2 linked regions of the Mus musculus genome follow. The protein of the gene in region 1 binds, or shares a complex with, the protein of each later gene. Links are inferred from orthologs where the notes say so. Each region holds a gene or a part of one and is shown on either strand. Other genes may lie near its edges. The genes, in order: Fgfr2 and Fgf8.

Region 1 (3,805 bases):
AAAATGGACAGCTTAGGTGGACAGAAAATGAAGAAACTCAGTTGGACAAACAGAAAGGAAGACATGCTGAATCCATGTGCCTGGGAACTCCAGGGCCTCTGTCTTTTTCACATGAAGCAAAAGGAAGAGCGCTGTAATAGGTGTTAATTCTTTTTTTCTTTAAAAGCGATGGAGTCAACAAAATCGGTCATCAGATACGATGACCTGACTGAACCTGACCTGTTTGATTCCTGGGAATCACGTGGTAGAGAAAGGTGCTGGCTCCCATGTAAGTTGTCCCCTGGCCACCATTTCAAAAGGACCTTCACTAACCTTGCTATGCCATGTGCATGCCCCCACACAAACGCACACGTGCCCAAGCTACATAAATATATAAATGTAATATATAAATGTAAAAAGATGGAAATGGAAATGGAAAATGGAGAAATAGAAAGAGTTTTCTTTAAAAGTGATGCAGGCTGGAGAGATAGATGGCTCAGTGATTAGGAGCGCTTGCTGCTCTTGCAGAGGACCCGAGTTCTAGTCCCAGCACCACATCAGAGAGCTCACAACTACCGGCCCTCCAGCTCTGAGGGATCCAGTGCTCTCTTCCAGCTTTCCAAGAGCTCCAGCACACATGTATAAACACACACACACACACATCAGTTTTTTAAATGATGAAATAATTAAGGGTCAATGGCCTATCTACCTCAACTTATGGATTTTACTTCTTTTCTCTATTATAAAAACAAATGAGACAGGACATTGCTCCCTTTACTTAAACTCCCTAGACCAGAGTCCAGATGTTAAGAATGGCCCAGGGCTAAGAGATCAGGAGAGGCTGTGAAGGAGTAGCCAAAGGAGTGGCCAAAGGAGTGGCCATTCAGCCTGAAGCCTTAACACTATCTAGCCAGGTAAGAGTTTTATTAAGGACTCTTCCAGCAACTCATTCAGGCAACCAACTTTAACTTCAGCACCATCTAGCTTCTATGGTCCCACAAATGACAGTGGTGTCACTCAAAGTAGCACAGCATTCTCAGGATTAAAAGGAACCCAACTGAGCCTTTTTGACTCCACATTCAACAGCTGGCCAAAGGCTGCATCTGACATATGCTCCAAATTATATCTTAACCCTCTGCAAGAAACACCTGTTGGAAACGAGGCTTCAAGGACGTTGACAAGGACCTGCTCAGCCTGTAGTGTGAAGCTAGGTTGAGAACAGCCAAGGCCCTGTGTCCAAGCCACTACTGACCTGCTAGTTCCCACCTTGTCCACAGAAAGGGCCCAGGAAAGGCAGGGTTGGGTTGAACCCAGAGATTCTTAAGGTATTACACAGTATCACCCGAGAAAGTGTTTAAAATGCAGACTCTTACAGATCCATTCAAGAAGTACTAAATAAGAATTTCTAGGGTTGAAACTAATGAATATGCAGTTTTAACAAACACTAAGATGCACCTCCCCATAGCACAGGCCAGGTTGTTCATTTCCATTGCTAATTTAAAAAAAATAGTGACAATCTTATCAGAATCAAGTTCCGAATCTTATCATAAAGATTTACACCCACACATGCCTGGCTCTTGGAATCCAGGAGCAAGTACAGAAGTCAAGCATTTTTTCCTTATCCACCTTTGAAGGGCTTTGTTTTATGGCACAGGGAAGGTTCTATTGCCTTACCTCCCCCAAAGCCAGCCATCAAAGATCAAGCTCAAGGTTAAAGGTAATTTTCTCCCTGTTCTACATAGCAATCATCGTATCTGGGGGCTGGAGAACTGGCTCAGTGGTTAAAGAGTGCTTGCTGCACTTCTAGAAGACCAGAGTTCAATTCCTACCACCTATGCTGATAAACTCTAGCACTAGTGGACCTGACACTCTCTTTTGGTCTCCACAGGCACCTGCACACATGTACTTATAACCTAAATACAAACACACACACACACACACACACACACACACACACACACACACACACACACACACACACAATCATCCTATCACTGAATCCCTAGCCAAACCTGTAACAATAAACTATACGCATACAGCGTTTTAAAAACCAGACAAAATCAGCCAAAACCCAGTTTAGAAGACATCACAGACCACTTTTATGCAAGCATTAGTTCAGGTATACCTCCATCCTCTGTTTCTGATCTCTACTTAAAATAGTAAATCAAAGAAAATTAAACTCTCTTTCCTATGAAGGGTAAAACTTGAACCCGAACATCTGGCCTCATACAGAAGCAATGGAGCCAGACCAAATGCTTGTTCTCCCAAAGGAGCCGTGAGCTTGAGGGGCGCAGAGGGCATGGCCTCCTCTGCCCATCCCACTGGGCAGCTCCAGTCTTCACACTCTTGTCCTTTAAAACCAGAGCCAGCCTACCAAGCCCAGAGCAGCATTGTGACTTAATGCTCTTTAGTCCCAACCGCTGACTGAACCTCCACACAGTGGCAGATTAGAATTGCCTGCAGTTCTGGAGCTCACAGAAGTTAGGGGGAAAATCAGAGGGAAGAAGATCCAAGAGCTGGCTGGGTGGGGGAGGGGAGTAAATTTCTTCAAACTCTTTATCTACTTTCTGTTACCTGTCTCCGCAGGGGGATGCGCTTGGTCAGCTTGTGCACAGCTGGCTGGCTGCTGAAGTCTGGCTTCTTGGTCGTGGTCTTCATTCGGCAAAAGATGACTGTCACCACCATGCAGGCGATTAAGAAGACCCCTATGCAGTAAATAGCTATCTCCAGATAATCTGGGGAAGCCGTGATCTCCTTCTCTCTCACAGGCGCTGGGTTGCAGATCCGCGGGAGAGGGACAAATAAGCAGGCCACAGAGTTAGGATACCAGAGGGATGTATCGAAGCACACTTCAAGGAATGACGCCAAAGACATCAAGGGCTTCCCTATCTACAGGTCAATGCACAGAGATACCCAGATGCAGAGCAGCCATGGGCCTCCTGCCTGGGCCTCTCCAAATGCTAACAAAGAGCCAAGGGTTCCTCGGTTTATCACTACAGCCCAGGCAGCTGCCTTCTCCAGCCTCAATGGGCATCTGCCACCAGTGAGCAGCTGATACCAGACTGTAATGGGGGACTACAAGGCCTCATTCTGCTAAGCCCCTGGTCATAGCAGGACACCCAGGACACCCACCACAGGAGGACTGTCTGTCATGATGGCGGCTCGACATAAACCAAACAGAATTATTAAAAGGGACCTCATCCACTGTTGCTTCTAAGGAGACAGGGATGATGCTTGCTAGCTAGGGAGGTGCCTCCAGGGGAAGGTTCAACAGGACCCCAGAGGATGGTAGCTCCAAAGGGCTCACACTCAACTAGTAGGCTGGCCCAAAATGTTTTGGCAAGTCCCTTCATATGGTCCAGAATATTTATTCAGTTAAACAAACAGATGTATCAATCTTGAGATAGTCACATATATAATATATGATATATATGTATGTGTATGTGTAGATATGTATGTATGTATGTATATATATATATATATATATATATATATATATATATATATAATACTTAAGAACCAATAAAATGTTTGTATATCCAGTTATCCTGACTTGTTACTGAACCTTTAAATGTATGATGGTACTGCATGTGAGCAGAACTGTGATTAATTTAGCATATTCTTCTGTCAACTATATTGGTTCTTCCTCAACTGGTCAATCTACAAGCAGTGTATTTCCAAACATGATTATTCTCAAGCTGCATCTCCTTAAGGGGTAGTGCTGTCAGGCAAATTGGTTAAGAAGTGCCAGGTAGGCACCTGAGAGCGTGGCACTGTAAGTACAAGCAAGCTCAACAGGAGAGGCATCTCTGTTTCAAGACCAACT
Region 2 (4,290 bases), on another chromosome or scaffold:
ACTCCCCTAACCATATATATATATATATATATATATATATATATATATATATATATTACTCCGTGTTTGCATTTGCAAGATGGGATGCATAAAAGGGGGGCGGCAGGCCGAACCGGATGGGGACTGACAAGGGCCTGCTTGCCTCTCTTTAGCCTACAAAGACTTTCTGGGGCCACCGCAAACCCCTAGTTCTACCCCGGAGGCACAGAGGATCAGTAGAGGGGAGGCTGTGGATGAAGGCAGAGCTGGGTGGTACATCCACGGAGCCACCTGGTCTTCAAAAATACCTGGCCTGGGAAATCTCTGTGCCTGCGGTAACAAAATAGTGGCTCAGGGTTCCCAGAAACCCTATGGAGAAAGCAATGGGGCGACGGGCTTGAAAAGGCTTACAGAAGTCTCTACCTTCTCACCAGCACCTCCCTCTTCCAAGTGACACAAGACACCAGGTACCTGCTCAAGGAAAACCTGGAACTCAGAAGGGGAAAGGCTAGGCAGCTTGGGTCCGTGTCCTGAATGTTGCTGAACGTAGTTATTTTTGCCCCTGCTAATTGCTCAGAAGCAGTGGCTGTGGGTCCTTCAGAGACCCCTGAGCTCTTACCACATAGACGCTTCAAGGTTTTTCTTAAGCTTTATAGACTAGTGCAGTTGGATGGACAGGAGCAAGGCTGAAGGTGATAATGGGGTGGCAAGGGGCATTTCTCCCTCCCAGAGCCTCTTTGGAGACTGTGAGACAGAAAACCAGCGGGGTTGGGTTTTTAGAAAGGTGAAGGCACCGGGTTCCAGTGGCGCCCAAGGGGACGCTCAGCACCGGGGCCCAGTTCACTGTTAGCTGCAGGCTCCCAAGAGGGGCGCGTGCGACCGCAGCACACATTAGGCGACCCAGAGACCTTCTAGGAGGCCAGAGATAAGCAGACCCGACCCTAAGCAGATCAACAGTCCTGCAGGACTCAAGTGTACGGGACCCCACTAAACATGTTGTCCCAGACGCCCCCCAATCCCTGGACGATCCCGCCCCCGGAACGCTGGAAGAGACAGGCAAGGGTAGTGGGAGGCGCCCACACCAGCCGCCCCCGCCCCTCCCGCGGGTCCCTAGACCCCTCCCCTGGGCCAGACCCCCCAATCCCTGCTCTGCCCGCCGCCCCGCCCCCGGCCGCCCCGCCCCCGCCCCGGGCGGCGACCCGGCCCCAGCGCCCAGCCGGGGGTGCGGGCTCCGGCCGCCCGCCCCGCGCTCCCCCCTCGCGGCCGGTGCGGCGCCCCCCGCCCCTGCCCTCCCCCTCCCTTCCCACCTCCCCACCCACCCCACAGGCCCGTTACCCTCCCGCCTGCTCGGGCTCCTGAGCAGCCAGCGGCCACCGGCTCCAGCAGCGGCTCAGAGGGGTTCGGCGCGCGCGGCGAGCACGACATTCCACGAGCCGCGTCGGGATAGCCGCTGGCCTCCCGCACCCCGACCTCCCTCAGCCTCCGCACCTTCGGCTTGTCCCCCCGCGGCCTCCAGTGGGACGGCGTGACCCCGCTCGGGCTCTCAGTGCTCCCGGGGCCGCGCGCCATGGGCAGCCCCCGCTCCGCGCTGAGCTGCCTGTGAGTACCGCGGTCGCCCCCGCGTCCCCGTCGGCCAGCGCCCGCCGAGCCCTCTCCGCTCACCCCGCGCCTCTTTCCTGCCCGCTTTTGTCTCCCACAGGCTGTTGCACTTGCTGGTTCTCTGCCTCCAAGCCCAGGTAAGGAGCGCTGCGCAGAAGCGGGGGCCGGGCGCGGGGAACCCAGCTGACACTCTCGGGCAGGGACACGAGGACCGACCCTTCGGCCAGCGCAGCAGGGCTGGAAAGAACTTTACAAATCCAGCCCCAAACTACCCCGAGGAGGGATCTAAGGAACAGAGAGACAGTGTCCTGCCTAAAGTCACACAGCGAGTGAGTGGAGAGACTAGAACCCAAGGGTCTTGAGCCCAGCGACTGGCCAGTTCGGGTGGATGGGAAGGCTACCTGTAGCCACACCTGGCCTCCTAGGAAGGCGGGAGCTGGAGTCAGCGGGTGTTCCTTGTCAAGGGTAGTTGGGATGTAGTTGCAGCGAATATCCTCGCCGCTGCTCTCTGGGGAGACCTGTGGCCGGTTTGGGCCAACGATCGTGTTAACCTAGGCCCTTTGCATTCTCAACATTTGCTCCGTAAATTTGTCTTTATAAATGTCACGGGTCGGGTAGCGTTGCCTCGCTACTTAAAAGCACCCTGCTCCTCTAGGAAGGCCCGGGCGGGGGGCCTGCGCTGGGCAGGGAGCCCACTTCCCTGCTCCGAGCTGGCCGGGAGCCCCAGGGTGTTTCCCAACAGGTGGGTCCAGACTCCCTCATTCCCGGGTTCATCCATCCATCCTGGGCTGGGTCTGCGCGACTTCCCCGAGGGGGTTGGTGGCCTGAGCCGGCATGTTGTGGGGATGCCCCCAGTCCCCGCTGGCTGCCTGGCGCGGCGGGAGGCGGGTACAAGGGCAATGGGGACCAACTCGGGGCCCCTGGGCGGAGTAGCGTTATAATGGCGTGCTGTGTATTTTTCAATTTCCTAAAGGTAACTGTTCAGTCCTCACCTAATTTTACACAGCATGTGAGGGAGCAGAGCCTGGTGACGGATCAGCTCAGCCGCCGCCTCATCCGGACCTACCAGCTCTACAGCCGCACCAGCGGGAAGCACGTGCAGGTCCTGGCCAACAAGCGCATCAACGCCATGGCAGAAGACGGAGACCCCTTCGGTAAGGTGCATTCCCGGACCCTGGAGAGGAGAGGTAGCTTGGACCTCGCCGCCCCTTGCCAGCCCCAGCTGCATCAGCCAGAAAGGCCTGCGGGCTCTCCACCTGAGAAGGGAAGGAGTTAAGACGAAAAGGTGCCTTGGGGTCAGCTGGAGAGAATAGTGGGGAAGGGACCCTGGGGAGGACGAGGCCAACAGGTGCCCTCTCTTCCCTGCTCCGCAAATGAATGAATCCAGGAGTCTCCCTTACAATCTTCACACACCTCTACCCGGCTGCAGGTGGAGGCAGAGGGTTCAGAGGAGAGGCCCAAATTTAAGGGGAGTTCTTGAAAGAGGATATGTCGCCAGGGCCCACAAAAGGAGAGTGGGAAAAAGAAAGTAGAGAAATCCCCCAGTTCGCCCAGTTTGAAAAAGGGACAGAACTGCTAACTGATCAGAAGGGTCAATTGCACAGGGAGACTCGGCCTGCAAGTTAGACTCCGGGCTCCACTGTGGATACCCCAGGGGACTGAGTCGGCTGGCGGCTTCCCGCAGGGCTGCTGAGTACAGGGAGCTACTGGGGCAGGGGCTGAGAACTGATTGATTTCTACAACATTCAATATTCTTGTCTTGAAATGGGGCCAATTTCCAGACTCCTTGGATGTACCACAAGGAAGCCAAACCCTCAGGGTGGCTGGTGTTGTTTTTAGAGAGTGGGATATTGTAAGTTTAAAAACCTTTAAATAATGACCAACTTAAGCGAGCATGAAAGGAGAAAGGAAAACTCTATTAAAATGTAATAAAAAGGTGAGGCATTTTAAGAGCTAAGAAGAAAAATGGAGAATGATATAAAACAGAAAAAGAACCAGGCGTTTTCTTTTTCAGATGTAGAGTTTGAAAGGAGTTGCAAGTCTGTAAATGTTAAAAAGAGAGAGAGAGAGAGGCTCAGGATTGTTCTCTGCGAATCTCTGGAGAGACCCCCGCGTCTGGCAGAGCGATTAAAACTATTCTTACTTTCACCTTTTTTAACGTTTCCTGAATACTTTCTCCTCTTCTCGAGCCAGTTTGGGGGATCGAGTATGTCTCGCTGCATTTTTTTTTCAGCATCGACATAGCTGACTTCCCTTCAAAGCTAGAGGAGGAGACATAATTTTCCTGGGATAAATCTGTCACTGGGGTGGAAGAATAGGTTCGAAAATGTTAAGCTTTCCAAAAGCCTGCTTGGGAAAGTCTCTGTAAACTACACGGCCAGGCTCCCCTGATCGATCCGAGGAGACCAGAGGGGGGGACTCTTTGGGTGGGGGTGGGGGCAGCCTGCCTGGTGGCCGAGCTCCCCCCGCTGGGCTGGCAGAGCTGGCCTTCAGGCCCTTTGTCCCTCCAAATTGGCTGCTTGCTGCCCTTCTCGGCTTCCCAACAAGAAAAAGGAAAGAATGCCGAGCTCCTCCAGAGTTTACTCTACTGGAGCAAATGGCCTAGCATCCTTGGGTTTTGGGGTGGGAAGGAGAAACTAGGCTGGCAGTGATGATCTTCAGGCATTAGCGGGGTCAGATGCCCACTTACTCTCTTCAGACCCAGAGGAGGCT

What was found.
Region 2: the proteins of Fgfr2 (region 1) and Fgf8 are in contact, whole or in part, in a crystal structure (PDB 2FDB), measured with the Homo sapiens proteins. The link is inferred for Mus musculus from reciprocal best matches to the Homo sapiens genes FGFR2 and FGF8. Residues at the interface, in NP_000132.3 of Homo sapiens: Glu160, Lys161, Glu163, Lys164, Leu166, His167, Ala168, Val169, Pro170, Asn173, Asp247, Val249, Arg251, Ser252, Ser282, Asp283, Ala284, Gln285, Pro286, His287, Ile288, Gln289, Ile291, His293, Leu309, Val311, Leu312, Lys313, Ala314, Ala315; in NP_149354.1 of Homo sapiens: His53, Val54, Gln57, Asp62, Leu64, Ser65, Arg66, Leu68, Ile69, Arg70, Tyr72, Tyr75, Arg77, Gly80, His82, Val106, Glu107, Thr108, Thr110, Phe111, Gly112, Ser113, Val115, Thr148, Glu149, Ile150, Val151, Leu152, Glu153, Asn154.

What each region holds. Positions count from the first base shown.
Region 1 is NC_000073.6:130,193,625-130,197,429, forward strand, and holds part of Fgfr2 (fibroblast growth factor receptor 2), read right to left. Parts: intron 2,751-3,805; coding exon 2,548-2,750; intron 1-2,547. UniProt on the Homo sapiens protein: Tyrosine-protein kinase that acts as a cell-surface receptor for fibroblast growth factors and plays an essential role in the regulation of cell proliferation, differentiation, migration and apoptosis, and in the regulation of embryonic development.
Region 2 is NC_000085.6:45,739,941-45,744,230, reverse strand, and holds the start of Fgf8 (fibroblast growth factor 8 isoform 2 precursor), read left to right. Parts: upstream 1-1,346; 5' UTR 1,347-1,546; coding exon 1,547-1,578; intron 1,579-1,678; coding exon 1,679-1,715; coding exon of another isoform or gene 1,716-1,907; intron 1,908-2,233; coding exon 2,234-2,320; intron 2,321-2,551; coding exon 2,552-2,732; intron 2,733-4,290. UniProt on the Homo sapiens protein: Plays an important role in the regulation of embryonic development, cell proliferation, cell differentiation and cell migration. Required for normal brain, eye, ear and limb development during embryogenesis.